Linked DNA regions of Nothobranchius furzeri. The protein of the gene in region 2 purifies or fractionates together with the protein of the main gene of each other region. This does not show direct contact. Links are inferred from orthologs where the notes say so. Each region holds a gene or a part of one and is shown on either strand. Other genes may lie near its edges.

The links. Proteins that work in one complex are often made in the same cells at the same time.
Region 1: the proteins of rack1 (region 2) and insulin-like growth factor 1 receptor purify together in Homo sapiens (affinity purification with western blotting; 4 studies listed by BioGRID, with this or other methods). This does not show direct contact. The link is inferred for Nothobranchius furzeri from reciprocal best matches to the Homo sapiens genes RACK1 and IGF1R.
Region 3: the proteins of rack1 (region 2) and helz purify together in Homo sapiens (affinity purification with mass spectrometry; 3 studies listed by BioGRID and IntAct, counting the BioPlex papers as one, with this or other methods). This does not show direct contact. The link is inferred for Nothobranchius furzeri from reciprocal best matches to the Homo sapiens genes RACK1 and HELZ.

What each region holds. Positions count from the first base shown.
Region 1 is NC_091749.1:29,659,850-29,665,599, reverse strand, and holds part of insulin-like growth factor 1 receptor, read right to left. Parts: intron 5,378-5,750; coding exon 5,142-5,377; intron 1,088-5,141; coding exon 920-1,087; intron 827-919; coding exon 619-826; intron 522-618; coding exon 217-521; intron 125-216; coding exon 1-124. UniProt on the Homo sapiens protein: Receptor tyrosine kinase which mediates actions of insulin-like growth factor 1 (IGF1). Binds IGF1 with high affinity and IGF2 and insulin (INS) with a lower affinity. The activated IGF1R is involved in cell growth and survival control.
Region 2 is NC_091741.1:97,231,882-97,237,731, reverse strand, and holds the start of rack1 (small ribosomal subunit protein RACK1), read left to right. Parts: upstream 1-2,434; 5' UTR 2,435-2,546; coding exon 2,547-2,655; intron 2,656-3,118; coding exon 3,119-3,290; intron 3,291-4,491; coding exon 4,492-4,639; intron 4,640-4,927; coding exon 4,928-5,023; intron 5,024-5,182; coding exon 5,183-5,293; intron 5,294-5,531; coding exon 5,532-5,672; intron 5,673-5,850. UniProt on the Homo sapiens protein: Scaffolding protein involved in the recruitment, assembly and/or regulation of a variety of signaling molecules. Interacts with a wide variety of proteins and plays a role in many cellular processes.
Region 3 is NC_091744.1:2,413,228-2,418,482, forward strand, and holds the end of helz (probable helicase with zinc finger domain), read right to left. Parts: intron 4,360-5,255; coding exon 3,690-4,359; intron 2,203-3,689; coding exon 1,929-2,202; intron 1,836-1,928; coding exon 1,480-1,835; 3' UTR 1,411-1,479; downstream 1-1,410. UniProt on the Homo sapiens protein: May act as a helicase that plays a role in RNA metabolism in multiple tissues and organs within the developing embryo.

The sequences.
Region 1 (5,750 bases), on a different chromosome or scaffold from region 2:
AGTTTGAACTTGATCTCGTACATGAGGATGAGCCCATTGGGGCGGGGGGGCTCGGGCCAGCGCAGGAACACCCAGTTCTCATGACCCTCCCAGACCACTGAACCAGGAATGTCATCAGCCTTTTCTGGACAACCAACAGGAGGATTCCAGTTACCAGACACATCCTCTCTTCAGCTGTTTTGAACTGTGTGATGCTGAGTACACGTTTACTCTAACCTGCAGGTTTGGTTCTGGAGAAGACAAACTCAGCCGCGCTGCAGCGCTGGACCTGTCGATTGCAGGCGTGAATATCGATGCGGTAAACGGTGAAAGGCTGCAGGCCGGAGATCTGCAGCTCCCGTTCCGTCACCGACTGCTCCACAAACTCGTATTCCTGGTCGGCTGGCTCCGAGTCCACAGTGCTGCTGTTCCCAGCACCTTGGAGAGGTGGGATGGTGCTGCTGTTGGTGGACAGCTGGACACGCCGGGAACGAGTGGAGTTAGCCACGCCAAAAAGATCTCTGCGGCGCCGGTCTGGTGGTCTGGGGGAGCGAACGACAGACATAACCACAATATGAAGATTTGAAAACATTTCCAAAGTTGCGAAGCCCAGAGGAATTTACAGAAGCAGCAGATTACCTTGGTGTAAAAATGGAGTTGTGCAGGAAGTTCTCAAAGACTTTTCTATAGGAGGCATCAGAAGCTTCAGCCTCCAGCTCTTCCACCGATTTGGGGCAGGGGCAACAGGGGCCTTTATCCGGGCCGTCGGAGTCTGGTTTAGTGGGCTTGGTGTCTTCCTCCTGGTCCCCCACCCCTGTGGCAGCAATCCTAATGGGAATCTTTAGCTCTGGTAGAGGAAGACAAGGGTGAAGCCTAGCAGGTGAGACTGAATGGCTGAATGTACGTGTGTGTGTGTGTGTGTGTGTGTGTGTGTGTGTACCTTTAGAGCAGTAGTTGTGCTGGTACAGCTCCCGGCCCTCAGCTTGCTGTTGCCATCTCACCAAGTAATAAGTTTGGTTGCCATTAGGCGCGACGGGGGGCGACCAGCGCACCACCAGCTGAGTCGATGAGTTAGAGTACGCTCGCACGTCTTGAGGCATGGAGGGTGCTGAAAGTGAAAAATAAAACTCTATGAACTGTAGGGGAGTTCTGTGCCTGAGGCCTGGACACTCACACTCTCTCACACACTCACACACACACACACACACACACACACACACACACACACACACACACACACACACACACACACACACACACACACACACACACACACACACACACACACACACACACACACACACACACACACACACACACACACACACACACACACACACAATCTGCCAATGCAGCTGTGTCTCACTGGCCATGTTTTCATGCTGCAGCTGGATTTGTTTTACGCCGTCCTTCATTTCATCTGATTAAATTACTGTTCTGTAAGTCGTTGCAGCTCAAAGCCTTTGATTTGCAGCTGTGTTTATTTTAAAGAGCATTTCTCCCTGTCCCTATGATGTGTTTGATTCTGTAACACAATCACAGGCTGAGTCCTCCTAAACCTCAGCCCTTCATCAGAAGTCACCAGTGGTTAAAAGACTCTGATTCCGGGAACAGGGACAAACTCTTCAAGGAGGCGATTCCTCAGCCGCTGTACCTGATTCCTTCTAGGTAAACAGACATGATGGAGCCAATATGTCCGCCTAAGCCACGGAACTATTTAGCTGTAAACAGATTCATTGATGTATATGTTTAACCAAATGCATGTGCATAAAAAATTCTCGACTTATCCAGCTGGAACCCTCTGTGAGAACTGTAAGGAAGCGTCATCTCACGGCTGAAGTGGCTGCAGGTTTTCTTGAAAGTTTTTAGAAAGATCCCTCCCACTCCCGTAACTGCCTCTTGTGATTTTACTGTCAATGATTTTAACAGCAGACTGAAATCCGCTCTGGACCTGCTCGCTCCACTTAAAATCAAAAGTCTATGTTCAAAACGTGCTTCACCGTGGAGAAATGAAAATCTAAAGAAACTAAAGAGAAATTGCAGGGTTGCAGAGCGGAGATGGAGAAAGAACAAAACAACTATAAATCATCAAATATATACAGAGCTACTTAAATCATATAATAACGCAGTGAGAAATTCAAGAAATGCATACCTTTCCAAACTCATTCTAGACAATAAACACAATCCCAGAATACTTTTTTCCACCGTAAACAACATTTTAAACCGTACATCCAATTCACTTCAGAAAACCCACTCAGATGCACTCTGTGAGGAGTTTGCAGCCCACTTCAGAGGGAAGGTAGACACCATCAGAAGGAATATTTTATCCTCCATAAGTAATAAGGTTTTAGATAAATCTGAATGTGTGTCTATACCAGAGGAAACACTGGACAGCTTTGTCCTGGTAGAAGCTGAGACTCTTGATAAAGTTTTCTCCTCAGTGAGACCCACCACATGTGTTCTGGACCCAATTCCAACTTCGTTCTTTAAACAATTTTATGGATCTTTTAGTGATGAGATTTTAACCATGATGAATTGCTCCCTTCAGACGGGGGTCTTTCCTGCTGCCTTTAAAAGGGCGGTGGTGAGGCCCTTGTTGAAGAAGAGCAATTTAGATCTTAATGAATTAAATAATTATCGACCGGTATCCAGCTTACCATTTTTAAGCAAAATTTTAGAAAAGTCGGTTTTAAATCAACTAAATGATTTTATAAACACTAATAATGTCCTAGAGACATTTCAGTCTGGTTTTAGGGTGAACCACAGCACTGAAGATTTTAAATGATTTTAGAGTAAATTATGATAAACAGAAGTTGACAGTGTTGGTTCTACTGGATCTAAGTGCTGCCTTCGATACAGTAGACCACACTGTTCTTTTAACTCGTTTACAACAGATCGGCCTCTCTGGTGCTGTACATAGATGGTTCACATCCTACCTCACAGACAGGACTTTCATGGTGAGTTTGGATACCTGTTCCTCTCGGGTCCATGGGATTACATGTGGTGTGCCCCAGGGTTCAATTTTAGGCACAGTGCTTTTTAATCTTTATATGCTCCCTCTTGGCGGAGTCATCAGGAGACACGGGGTTAACTTTCACAATTATGCTGATGATACACAGTTGTACATCTCCGTGTCTCCGGATGGCTCTCGGCCAATGGATGCACTTTTTAACTGTATTTTAGACATCAAATCCTGGATGGCAGAGAACTTTCTCCAGCTCAACCAGGACAAAACTGAAGCTTTAGTCATTGGTCCTGAGGCCCAGAGAGAGAAGCTTTTACCAAAATTACAATCTCTGCCTTTTAATCCTTCTGAACAAGCGAAGAACCTGGGTGTGATTTTTGACTCTGAGCTGACTTTTATCCCACACATTAAAAATATCATAAAAATAGTTTTTTTATCATCTAAAGAACATCGCCAGAGTCCGCCCCATTCTCTCTCGGGCCAATACGGAGATGCTGATGCATGCTTTTATCACCAGTAGGATAGACTACTGTAATGCCCTGCTTTCTGGTCTTCCCAAAAAGAGCATCTCAGGCTTACAACCTCTACAAAATTCGGCAGCACGTGTCCTGATGAAGACCAGGAGGCGGGAGCACATGACACCAGTTTTAGAATCATTGCATTGGCTCCCTGTATGTTTCAGGATCCATTTTAAGGTTCTTCTAATGGTTTTTAAGTGTCTTAATGGTCTTGGGCCTTCTTATCTCTCAGAACTGCTTTTACAATATGAACCCTCACGGCCTCTGCGCTCCTCTGGCAGGCGTCTCCTGGTCATCCCTAAAGTCAGGACACACACTCACGGCGAGTCGTCCTTCCAGTATTATGGCCCTCGCCTCTGGAACGAGCTGCCGGAGGACCTCAGGGCCGCAGAGAACATTCATGTTTTTAAGTCCAGGCTCAAGATCCACCTATTTAGGTTAGCTTTTATCTAATTATTTATTATAGTTTTATTTCTCGTTTTACATGATTACATTTTATTACTTGCTTTGCATGTTTTATATGATTATATTTTAGCACAGTTTTATTATTTAAATTATTATTTTACTGTCTATATCATTTTATTTATTACTTATTTTCTAATTTTTGTCATTTATATTAGCTCTTTTATTTTATTTTTACTCATTTTACTCCAGTGTTTCCTCTGTGGGGGCCCTCTGCCCCGGGAGCGGTGGTCGACTGTAGCTTCCTGGGCGCTCTATAGGTGGGGGTCTATGCTCCCCCTCCACTGAGCGCCCTGACTTAGTGTGGAAGACCTGATGCTACCGGGGCAGACGGCTCCTCTGATGGCGTTTCCTTGCCTTACCTTACTTGGCTCATCTGGACTCAGCCAAATATAATTTTTACTTGTGTGTGTGTGTGTGTCTGCGTGTGTGTGTGTGTGCGCTTGCATATGTCTGTTAATGTTTTTAACCTGTTATGGGAATCTGGGGTCATTTTGTAAAGCACTTTGTTTGAAAAGCGCTTTATAAATAAATCTGACTGATTGATTGATTGATTGAGTGGAACACTCCGGTCCTCCACACAGCCTCACAAGCACAGAAGTAGAAGGCTGGATTAAAATGGGATTGAGCCGGATTATTAACGCCGACTAGGAGAACTTTTACCTATTAGTGTATTCTTGTGGGATAAAAAGTTCATTTGATACCACCCACACAGTCACAGGTAGTTCCACAGTTTTAACTGAAGCTGTGATATTCTAGCAGCCATTCATGTCAGGGCTTTCAAAATAAAAGCAGAGAAATGTTGAACGCAGTACGCTACAGAAGACAACAGATGTCAGTAACGACACAGAAGAAGAGACGGTTTTTAACACAACTGTGATAAAGGTGAGTAAACTCACAGGTCAGTCTGACAGCAGAATAACTGCAGAACTAAAATGATGCACTTGTTCTGATTAGTTTGGCCAGAAATCAGAAACCTCACAAATGTTCTGTTAACTGAACATGATGAATAATTCCCCGTGAGAACTAAATTATGTTTTTGGCTCTAAGCATTAGTGATGTAAAGTTGCATTAATCCCGTTATTTATGTCGAAGGAGACACTTTGGCTAATTAGTAGGAATATCATTCAGCAAAAAAGCATTTTCCTGTGGAAGCTTTAGCTTATTTCTTACATAAAAACCTGCTCGTTTCTGTTATCAGAACACACCACACACACCTGAGGGGCTGGTGCGGATGTAAGCCACCTTGGTCTTGGCCCCGAGCATGTGTTTGTCCTCCACCAACAGGGTGATGGCTTTAACAAAGATGGCGTACTGCGTCCACGGTTTGAGTCCGGACAGCAGAACCCCGGGGTCCGACTCCTTGTCGGGCCTCAGCTCCACATCCACCATGTTCCAACTGTTGGAGCCACAACCATCCTGCCCCTCGAACTCGGTGATGTTCTGGAACGGCCTGGAGAAGGAAAAGGTGTGAATTAGTTAATTACTGTTAAATTAAACAAATCTACGTTTGATGCAAACAAACTCCAAGCTCTTTCAGATGTTCCTTTTTGCACATTTTAAACCAACGAAAATTCTGATCTTAGGGGTGGACAGGTTGGGTGTTGTGATGGAAAAACTCTAAGTGAAGCAGAAACGTTGACTTTAGCATTAAAACCAGACTGTCCACCACATTAACTCAGCATATTAGAATAAAAACATTCTTTTTTCTGCAGATTTTCAACAATTTTAGTTTTTGCAACCACCCTGAAGAGCTGGCCACTTCTCTCACATAAATGCTTAGCAGCTGTAACTGGAGCATCAACAGCTTAAACAAAAAGGGGAAG
Region 2 (5,850 bases):
TCTTTTAACAATGGTAGTTTTTGCATCTTTACAGTTCCCCTGCTTCAGAAGTTGAGGGCTTCCAGGAGCTCCCTCTAGCTCACCCATATTTCGAATGTTGCGTATAGCACAAGTTTGTCACGTGAGTTGCTGAATCCTAGCAGACAGTTGCCTTTCAAAATAAAATAGTTCCCGGATCTTGTTCCAGCAAGATCTGGCTCAAATTAAGCCCTGTCTACAAGTCTACAAAACACGTAGATTGGTTGGATGAACTCCTGTGCACCCTCTATGACCCTGCTAAGGGTATAGAGCTGGTCTAGTGTTCCACAGACCAGGAGAATATCACATTTTCCTCCTAAATCTGATTGATTATCCAGGGGACCTTTGTCTCTGGATCCTTTGAAGAGACTTTGCCTGCTAAGCTCAGGAGTGTTTTCCCCCTGTGGTTGGAGCACACCATCCAGTACCTCTTTATAAATAGGGGGATCATCACCCCAGTCTGTCAATCCAGTGGAACTGCCCCCAGTATCCACAATATTTACTGTGCCGCATCAACCAACACAGTCCCACAACATCCAGCGCCTTGAGGAACTCCAGGCGAATCTCACCCACCACTGGAGCCCTACCACTAAGGAGTCTCTTAACCACTTTGGTTGCCTCAGCACTAGAGACTTGATAGCCCAAACCCCCAGAATTCACTTCCTAAATGGAAGATGTGCCAGTGGAATTGAGGAGGTATTTAAAGTACTCTTTCCACTGACTCACAACATCCCAAGTGGAGGTCAGCAGTACACCATCCCCACCATAAACAGTGTTGGTGGTGCAGCTGTGTCACCCTCCTGAGACATCAAATGGTGGACCAGAATCTTCTCAAAGTATGAAACTCCTCCATGGCCTCATCAAACTCCTTCCAGCAGGTATTTTCTTCCTCCACCACCTGAACCACACTTCACTTGGTATCTGGTGCCTCAGACCAAAAGACTCAACAGGCACATACTACTCTGTGGCCGTAGCTCTAGTCAGCTGTTTCAACTTTTATTTTAGTAAAATAAAGCAAATGACTAAAGAAGTTTGAAAATGACATGTTTTAGAAAGTAAAACGTCATCTGCTAGGATGATCAAGTCTTACAGTGAGAGGAGGCTTACCATACAATTTTTTTCTAAGCACACAACACTGTTACCAATATTCTCACTTCAGCCTAATGTAACAGTGTTGAAATAGTGTAGCTGTGCAGTAGTTTACATATAGAAATATCAGATTATTCATAAAACATACCAGTAGAAAGCCTGGAAATTGAAGGATTCCAAATGTTGTTCAACATGTGAGATAAAACATTAATTATTTTGTAGCGTGGCATCATTGTCTTGTCTGTAATTGGCCTTTTTTTATTAGGTTATATGTTTTTATGGTTGTTTTATATTGTCTTATTTGTACTTGTTGCCTGCTGTATTGTCCAGCACCTTGGGTGTTTGATGAGATTGTGGAAGGGACATTACAATCTTCTGTGCATTCATTCTGGGTCTTTTTAACTTGTATTTTTTTTTTGGTTCTCTTTTAAACACAGGAAAGAAAAGTTTTCTTCTCTGTGTTTAAAAAAGAACCAATAAATAAATAAATAAATAAATACAAGAGACTTTACAAATAAAGTGAAATGAAATGAAAATTCAAATTTTAAAGATTGTTTGTTAATCAGTACACAAGTATAGAGCAGGCATGTATGTGGCCCTCATTTGTCGCCCTTGGAGCAATTTATGTCACTGTCGTCCCCCCCCCCCCCCCCCCCAACATTGTATGTTCAAACTTAATAGTCCATTTTGACAAATTTTAGGGAGTACAAATGCAAGAATAAATATTTTTAGCATTTAAAAAATGTATATGTTGTGGCCTACAAGGACAGTTAACTTGCTGATTTTGGCTCTTATCTAGGAAAGTTTGGACATCCCTGGTATAAAATATATCAAGGCGTCAACTTTAAAGCCGCCTTTCACATGAAAAGAAACAAATATTATGGGATTAAAGCTCGTGTGTGTGTGTGTGTGTGTGTGTGTGTGTGTGTGTGTGTGTGTGTGTGTGTGTGTGTGTGTGTGTGTGTGTGTGTGTGTGTAACATAAAGTATAAAAAATACGGACGTTTGTAAAATATAGAATATTCTAAAATCAGAAAATTTGTGTCCATCACAGACATTTTATTTTACTGGTGCTATGTTTCGTAAGAGCTTAATTTCCTTTATTCATTCAGACAGAAACATATCAGGGATGTGCACAGCTGTTACCAATAACCAAATCAGTGTGTATTACTTATATATAATGGTGATGTGTTGTAAGTGAAATGTTTTATCATGTTTCTAAACAGTCCCCTTCAGTCTTTTCTTGTAGCACACTTGGATGACTTGGGGAAAAAAACATATCCCAGAATGCTCTGCGAGCCCTTCACCCCTCTTAGTTTTTGCATCCGGGTCTGTACTTCCTTTTCCTCCGTGCCTAGATGCGATGAGGACCTAGGTTTTTACGAACCTGAGAAATATCCGAATCCATCCTTGTAAAAGGCACCACCGAACCTCGTCAAAATGACCGAGCAGATGACAGTGAGGGGGACCCTGAAGGGCCACAGTGGATGGGTCACCCAGATCGCCACTACCCCTCAGTATCCCGACATGATTCTGTCGGCGTCCCGAGGTGAGGCTTCCCCCGCCGGCAGCCGCCAACATGGCTACAGCTAGCTTTGTAAGCTAGCAGTGACTCTTTGGTAATGTTACAAAAATACGATTTTTGCGGAAGTGGCAGAAGACCGCTGAAATGTGATTACAACAGCCTAAAGGCTCATTAATCGCTTATAGTGAACATTTGCGACTTCAGAAGTGGAGGAAACCTGGTGTAGTTAAACTTGTGCTTTCTAGCGTCATTAGCTGGATCTACTGTGTTTCACTCCTGGGTTTACACCAACATAGCACCGACACTGATTCATCCAGTTAAACATCAGACTACTTGACATGAGGTTATAAGGCCTTGAACCAAGCGCTGCAATGTGATATTAACTTGATATTAACTTAAGTGCTAGCTTCGCATGCTAATGCTACCTACCTGCTCTTTGCTTTAGGCAATACTCCTGAGTCCTGAACCTTATGTGTTAAACTTTCAGACAAGTCCATCATCATGTGGAAGCTGACTCGTGACGAGACCAACTATGGGATCCCTCAGCGCTCTCTGAGGGGCCACTCTCACTTTGTAAGTGATGTTGTCATCTCCTCGGATGGACAGTTTGCTCTCTCAGGCGCCTGGGACGGCTCCCTCCGACTGTGGGACCTCACCACGTAAGTACAGCTAGGAAGAAAGCTTCTACATCAGATCCGCTGTCCTGTAAATATATCTCTTTACCCGTTTACCTGCTCCCAACATATTTAAATGTGTGAGAGCATCTAGAGAAGTCAACTTAGGAAGGTTGTGATGAAATCAGTTAATCTGGGTCCTTTAGAGCAGGAAACGTGTGGAACTTGCAGGATGGTACCCCTCAAGGAAAAAAGTTGCTGACCCTTGATCTGCATCATCTAAGCATCTATGTGGAACACAGTTTAAACTAGTTAATGCTTTTCTTTTTAGAAATAAGTAAGTTGGTAAAGACTTGCATGTTTGTATTAGCTGGAAGTATGTCCTTTCTAAATTTAAGTTGTAACAAACATCCTGGATAGTTTTAAAGATATGATTTGTCACCTTTGTTCTATAAATGAAAATGTGTTTGAACCGATGTTAACACACAGTCCGCGCTAATGCGTATTTGTTACTAGAGCTACAAACATTTCAGCACTTATGACCTCTAAATACCAAGTTGCCAGGGAACATAACTTAAGCCATAAAACAGTTGGGAAATGACATCTAGTTAAGCTACACCATGTGTAAACCCAATCTTGGTGAACAAACTTCATTTGCGTGTACATGACCGTGCAACAGCTTTTTATACTAGTGTTTTGTACCACAGATAGAACTTCAGTAATCTCGCACTAAATAATAAACAGCAGACATTTAAAAATGCAGTTATATACAATTACAATGTTTGTCAGAGATCCTATAAAATAAATTCTCCCAGTTTCTTGTACCCGACACTGTTGTTCCACAGTGTTATTGTCCTTACTACACCTTCATCACTTTATACACTCCTTAGTTGTGACTTAAGAGAACAGTAGATCTAAATAAATGGGTTTGGGGTTTATACAGGAATAAAACTACAGTCCATGTTTGAACAGTTTTAATCATCTAAGTGAGGAGCTGGAATTTGATTCTGGCTAAAGTGCTGGAACCCGATATAAACTGAACCTAAAAAAAATTGTCATTGATCGGCATTAAGGTTTGTGTACTAAAGTGATTTGTTTGAATACAAGTGGGGAAAAAAACTGTTTTAACTCCTTAAATGACTGTAGCTTGTAGAGGCCATAATTAGTAGAGGAGGGCAGGCATTTTAAACTGTAAACTTAATATAGCTTTATTCTAATCGGACGTCTTAATCTTGTGTTTTTCTAGTGGCACCACCACCCGTCAGTTTGTTGGACACACAAAGGATGTTTTGAGTGTGGCTTTCTCTGCTGATAACCGTCAGATTGTATCTGGCTCCCGAGACAAGACCATCAAGCTGTGGAACACTCTTGGAGTCTGCAAGTACACCATTCAGGTGAGCTGTCACTTAATGCTGCTGCTGCTGCTGCTTAGAGCTGTTCCTTCTTTGGTTTTCATTTAGTTTTTGTTCAAGCTTTTTTTTTTTTTTTTAACTAGTTTTACATTTTCTGAGGTAGAGCACACAGCTCAGCCATCAGCTGGAGCATTGTGGACTAAATCTGTATGATGGTTTTAAGTGTGTAGTGTGTCAGGATCATGGAATAAGTCTCGGTGGTTACATGAGCTAAAGTGAGCCATTGTTGGGATGAGCTGAACTTTAAACTGTTCAAACTTGATTTTGCAGGATGAAGGCCATTCTGAGTGGGTGTCTTGTGTTCGCTTCTCCCCCAACAGCAGCAACCCCATCATTGTCTCCTGTGGCTGGGACAAGGTGGTCAAGGTATGGTTTACTAGTAATTTGCTAATGTTTGGTCCTGGTTAGATGGTTTAACTTAGTTTGCATTTATTAGCTGACTACTTGCGTAAGACAACCTTTTTTATGATTAGCTTCCATGTTGGATGTTGATGTTTGTTCTGTCTCGGGTGTGATGCCTCTCAGGTGTGGAACCTGGCCAACTGCAAGCTGAAGACCAACCACATTGGTCACACTGGCTATTTGAACACAGTGACCGTCTCCCCTGATGGCTCTCTGTGTGCATCTGGTGGAAAGGTAACATCTGCTTCCAGTAATTGTAGATTTCTGTAAAATGTTCTTTTTTAGAATCTTTAAGTGAACGGACAAGTTTTTGCAATGATGGAAAATTAATCATACATCTGTTTTAAAATGATGACAATAGAGGCTGTTTCTGAGCACGACTTGAACTTGTCACGATCCCCGTTTGTGGGGTTGGGTATCGTGTTAAGAGCTGCGATGTAATCACTGAAGAATGTTTTCTGTTGGTGTTCAGGATGGCCAGGCCATGCTGTGGGACCTGAATGAAGGCAAGCACCTGTACACCCTGGATAGTGGTGACACCATCAACGCCCTTTGTTTCAGCCCCAACCGTTATTGGCTCTGTGCCGCCACCGGCCCCAGCATCAAGATCTGGGTAAGATGTTAAGCTAAACATGTTATCAAGGAGGACTGTGATGAAATTTAAAATGTTAGCTGTATTGTTTGATGATATCAGAGGCTGTTTCTGAGCTCCGACCCAATAGAGAATGTCAATAAATTCAGGTATGTTACTTATTACCTTGGTTAGAGATACCATCACTCTGGTTCTCTTT
Region 3 (5,255 bases), on a different chromosome or scaffold from region 2:
TACAGCAAGGGAAAGAATTTTAAAAAGGGCTCTTTTTCAATCCACTTCAAATACCGGATTGTACCAGATTGAATCACTCATTGGTTCAAACAGCACCCTTCTAAAGTAGCTAAAAGTATTAAGAGAACTTTTTTGCACTTTTGAGGTGATGGGAGATTTAAAATTCACGAGAAAAATGTGTTTGAGTAACTTAAATTTTTAATGTCTGCATAAAATGTACCAGAATATTTAAAATAAGATTTTACAATTAAAACAATACATCTATGACAAGAAATCCAAACATGTACATACATTTTCTTATTATAAAAATGTAAATTTTGGGGAAGAAAAGTATTTTTCACACAAATACCAATTTTTTTGCTTCAGTTTTCCATTCTTCGTCTGTTTTAGCATGCTCAAAAACATTTGACTGGAGGTAAATAACCCACGGTAATCACGACTCACAATGACCAAGCTTTCTCTTCACTTACGCAGACCTTCAGACCAAAAAAACTTTCAAAAATAATCCGCGGACCAACAGTTACTGAAATGATCAGATCTGATGCTCTGACAAACAAGCACCAGCAAAATAAAACATAACGGAACTATTCTGCTCAAACAAGCAGCGTGGTTCATCTGATCACAGAAAGCATCGTCTCGCGTTCTTAGAGCTTTAAAGCCGACAGAGAATGAAACACACGACCGATTCAGCGACAGTTTCACACTGAATCTAGTCTTCCCGATGACGTCTTGGTGAAAATTAAATGAAAACTGGAGTTGTTTTTTCTATAATCACATTTACCACTAAATTACCAAAGATTATTTTAAAGTAAGGATGACTAAAAGTTGAAAGGGGGCAGGAAAAAAAACTATTCATAATGCAAATACTAACATGATTTATGTGGTGTACAATTCAGTCTTTTTATTTTCTTTATCTGTACAGATTAGAGGAAAATTTATCTACTTCTATACACTGTTCTATGCTGTTGGTCGGTTGACCACTTAGCCGTTGTTACAAAAACACAGTATTATGAGCTGTTGATGTCTACTTGAAACTTGGAAAAAAAGCAAAAACAAGCATTTTTTTATATTTAAGAAAAAAATTCTTTTAAAAAAGCAGGAAGCTAAGTGGTCAGCCAAGTGTTACCTTTTTTTTTAGTTTTTATATTATTTTATTTATTTATTTTTAAGCATTACTTACATGTACAAGTGTAGATAATATAAGTATATATATTCATATATACATAGTGAGTATGTATATATATATACCAGTAATGCATTTGTTATATATACTGACTTTCTTCACAGATATGTCAAAGAAAAAACATTACCAACAAGAAGTCAAAGTGATTAAAAAATGCAGGAAAACAAACCTACTGGTAGAAACCAAATTATAAATGCACTTTACACACATTTTTTTTTTGTTTATTATTTTTTTACCATTTTTTGCTTGGATTTTATTATTTTATTTGATCACCTATTAAGTGGGAGAAGTGACACTCATTTAAAGTAGGAGTAGTATCCGTTGCTACCATTTGAACTTCCAATACTCAGCTCTTGAAGGAGGGAAAGAGGGTTACTATTCTTTTTGACCTGTTCAGGGCGAACAGCTCGGGGTTTCGGGGGAGCGCGGAGGGCGCTTGCGTATGACATGGTGGGGGCTTTGTTTAAATTTGGAGCCCCCTGGGTGGCCTCTGTTGGAGCCTGTGGTGGCGGTGGTGGCTGCTGCTGCTTTTTATTTGACATTAGAGGAGGAAACTGGTGCTGATGGGAGGTGATGCTGTGTGGATGGGTGGGCTGTGTGGCTGTGGGCTCAGCCTTCACCTGCTCATCAGTTTGACGGAGAACCTTGGACGCTGAAAAGTGGTTCAACCATTAGTAAGTTGGACAAATTAAACATGATTTAAAATAGCTTTACAATAACATAAAGCCAATTAACAGAAACTTACCCATAAGGTCGCGATGTTGAGCCAGAGCATTGGATCCGTTACATGGAATGTTCTGAAATTTACCAGGACCTGCACCATTACTGGGCCAGAGGTGGTCTTGTGGGAGATAGTTATAGGAGGGGTGTGGGTGCTGATGATGCTGCATATGAGAATGATCCTGGGGGTCTGACGGACAGGGCTGGGCATTGTGGGTGTTGGCTAGAGATGGTTCATCTGGGTAGCTGGAGGAAATGCGGCGCTGATAAAGAGGCCGGCCCGGACCTCGTGGTTCATACTGCACAAACACAAGTGGAGAAATGATGACACATTAAGTTAAATAATTAGATTCAAAAGAAATGACACAAGAAACTCAAAAGAGGTCTAACAACTGGAAATTGTTCTTTGAGCCTAGTTATTGCATATGAAAAATTATTGGGGCTCAAAATGGCCCAGGAGCCCTGAAAAACTGCCCAAAACGACATCGATATAAAGCCCTGCAATGGAAAGTCTGGTTTACCCCACCCACTCAGCCAGGTTATGAAAATGTAATGGGCGTGTGGGAATGTTGATCTGTCTGGCATTCATTCTGTCTGAATATTCACCGTGTATCTTGGAACATGAATGGTGTTCCAACATTATTTGTTACTTTCCTCTTTTTCGGCAAGGGTTTTTAGCAGTTTAGCTAGCTTGGACTAGCATTAGCTGTACATCAGACTACCATTGTTCTTCAGTAAGCATTGCTGTAACCAAAGCTAAATATTTTGCCAATATTGAAGTGGGATGGCAAATGAAAATTTAAGGCTGTGTGTCTAAGCTGATGTGTTAAACCAGATTTCCTCAAAACAAACTCTGTGGCCATTACTTTGTTGTTGTCGAATTTAGGCAACGTGAAGTGTCCGATATGCCAAAAAGTCTGTCTCCAACCTGCTTTCCTATGCTCATATCATGGTTCATTCTGGAAAAAAAAAAAGCTGGTATAACACGTCAAGTTGCATCCCAATCTATGCTAATGTCTACAATAACTAAACATGCTAGCCGAGGCTAGTGCTAACGCTAGCTCAAGAAACTCCTAATGCTTGCCCGAGCTACTGCTAACGTCATTGTTAGACAAGAAGAAAACAACAAAGAACAATGTTGGCACAAACAAGTAATATTCCAGGTTATTGGGACTATCTAGCCTGGCCAGCCATCCTATATATGTGAGCATATAGTCTGGCCACGACCCATAGACTCAGTCTTGGGATGGGATCTACAGTTGGCTTTAAAACTGAACAACATGACATACTCACCACTACAGATGTCAGTCAAAATGGAAGAAGATTCAGATACATCCTTTTTCTAAATAAAGGACTGAAGTACCTCTATCAGCTCTTGACTTAAAGAAAAGCCCAAGCCTAAAAAATCCAAATTCGAGGCCAAAGTCATTTCAAACAAGCCGTCGCCATCTTAGCTTTTCCACTCAGTTGCAGTAACATCCCGCAACCAAACCAATAAAGCACTGTGACTGGTAAGACACAAGATAGTTTGGGCAAACTGAGGTTCCAATAGAGCCTGGCTAGACTGATCTATAAAGCAATACCATTCTGCTATGATCTGTCTTAATTTCTAGGCTAGGGAGTATCCAGGCATTGAATGAATGCCAGAAATGTCCAGAGCTTGCTTATTGAGTTATTCGGATAAACGACTGTACAGAGTTTCTAGCTTCAGGGTTGAAGAACTTTTTTTATTTGACCGAATTTAAAAAAAACAGATCACTGTGCTAACTAGGTCAGCAGTTCTTACCTCATCTACACTGTGAAGGGTTGTAGTTGCTGATGATCTGGGGGACAGTGGGTGGTAGGGCTCTGGGTTAGGACCTGGATTTTGTTGGTGTGGCTGCTGTGGCAGGGGTTGTTGTAGCTGCTGTAGCTGCTGCTGTTGTTGATGCAGCTGCTGCTGTTGGTGCTGCTGCTGGTGATGCTGCATCAGAACCTGCTCCTGTCTGCTGGGGTGAGCCATGATGGGCAGTCCATAGAGAAGACCATGGCCCTGGTTCCCCAGCAAGTGGTTCTGCTGTGATGCAGATGCACCTCCACCATGGGGCCACTGAGCTTCTTGCAGAAGATATTTGACCTGGGAGGAAGGTGGGCTGCCAGAGTGAGCTGGTGGCTGATTTGGGTAGCTACCTGTATTGTACAGGGAGTTCCCCATGTGCTGTTGCTGCTGCAGAGCCTGATTGTTGAGAAGGTTTTCATTAAGGAGGTTGCGACTTGTATTGTGGGAGTAAAGTCCTGAAGGAAAGGGGCCAGCGTGATTGGACATGGCAACTAAAGAGGAAGAAGAGTCGTCTGAAGAGCGGCTCTGGGACTGTCGATACTGAAGGAGTCGAGATTGGGGTGGAGGTTGCATCTCTGTTGCTTCTCTGGCTTCTGGCTGATCCTGTGGGGGCACCTCTCTCAGGAGGCCTGGATACCTTGGAATTATAAAGTCATAGTGTAAAAATCAGTAAACGAAAAGAGTTCATCACAACAAAATGTCAGTGACACAAATCTGACATTAAGCTCGACGAAATTACATATTCTATTCTGATTTAATGATGTCATTTAGGGTTGTCACGGTAACCGGTATAAGGTAAACCCCGGTAAAAAAGTTGACAATAAAAATAACCGTCCAGTTTTTAAAAAACTAAATTATCTCGGTGGGTTTACCGTGGCCGCGGTTTCGGCGCGGTGACCCTTACCAGCCACCGTCGCTTCAGCTGAAGTTCCCGCGGCGTGCACACGCACTTTTTAGTTTGCAACGGCACCAAAACTTTGAAGCTGAAATAACGGCCGAAGGAGGAGACGGCAGCGCCCAGGACATCCATCAGCCCTCAAAGAAGACTAAATCGGAAGTATGGGCATATTTTGGATTTCTGAAAAATGCTGAGGGACAGTTAATAGAAGACTGCTATCCCGTTTGCAGAACATGCAGGAAACAAGTGTCTGCAAAAGGCAGCAACACTTCGAATCTAATGGCACATCTGCGTGACGATCACCCACGTCTCTACAGCCAGTGCAAGGTAAGTTAACATTAGCATTTTAGCTTAAATGCATGACGTGAGGACTTTTGGTTGAGGGAGAATGCAACGAGTCACTATATACTGCAGCCGCAGCGTCCTCTGCCAGCATTTAAACCGTGTCACGGACACCCTGTTGCTGGATGAAGCATCTTATTTGTTGATGATGAAGAGAAATATACGATTAGTTCCTTGTCATTGATTTGTTTACTTATTCAATGCCATTTATACTTGAACATTTGGATTTGATTACATAGTGTAGTAGTTATTTTAGTCATTTGTTTAAAGTGGCTATTTATTTTAAATACATG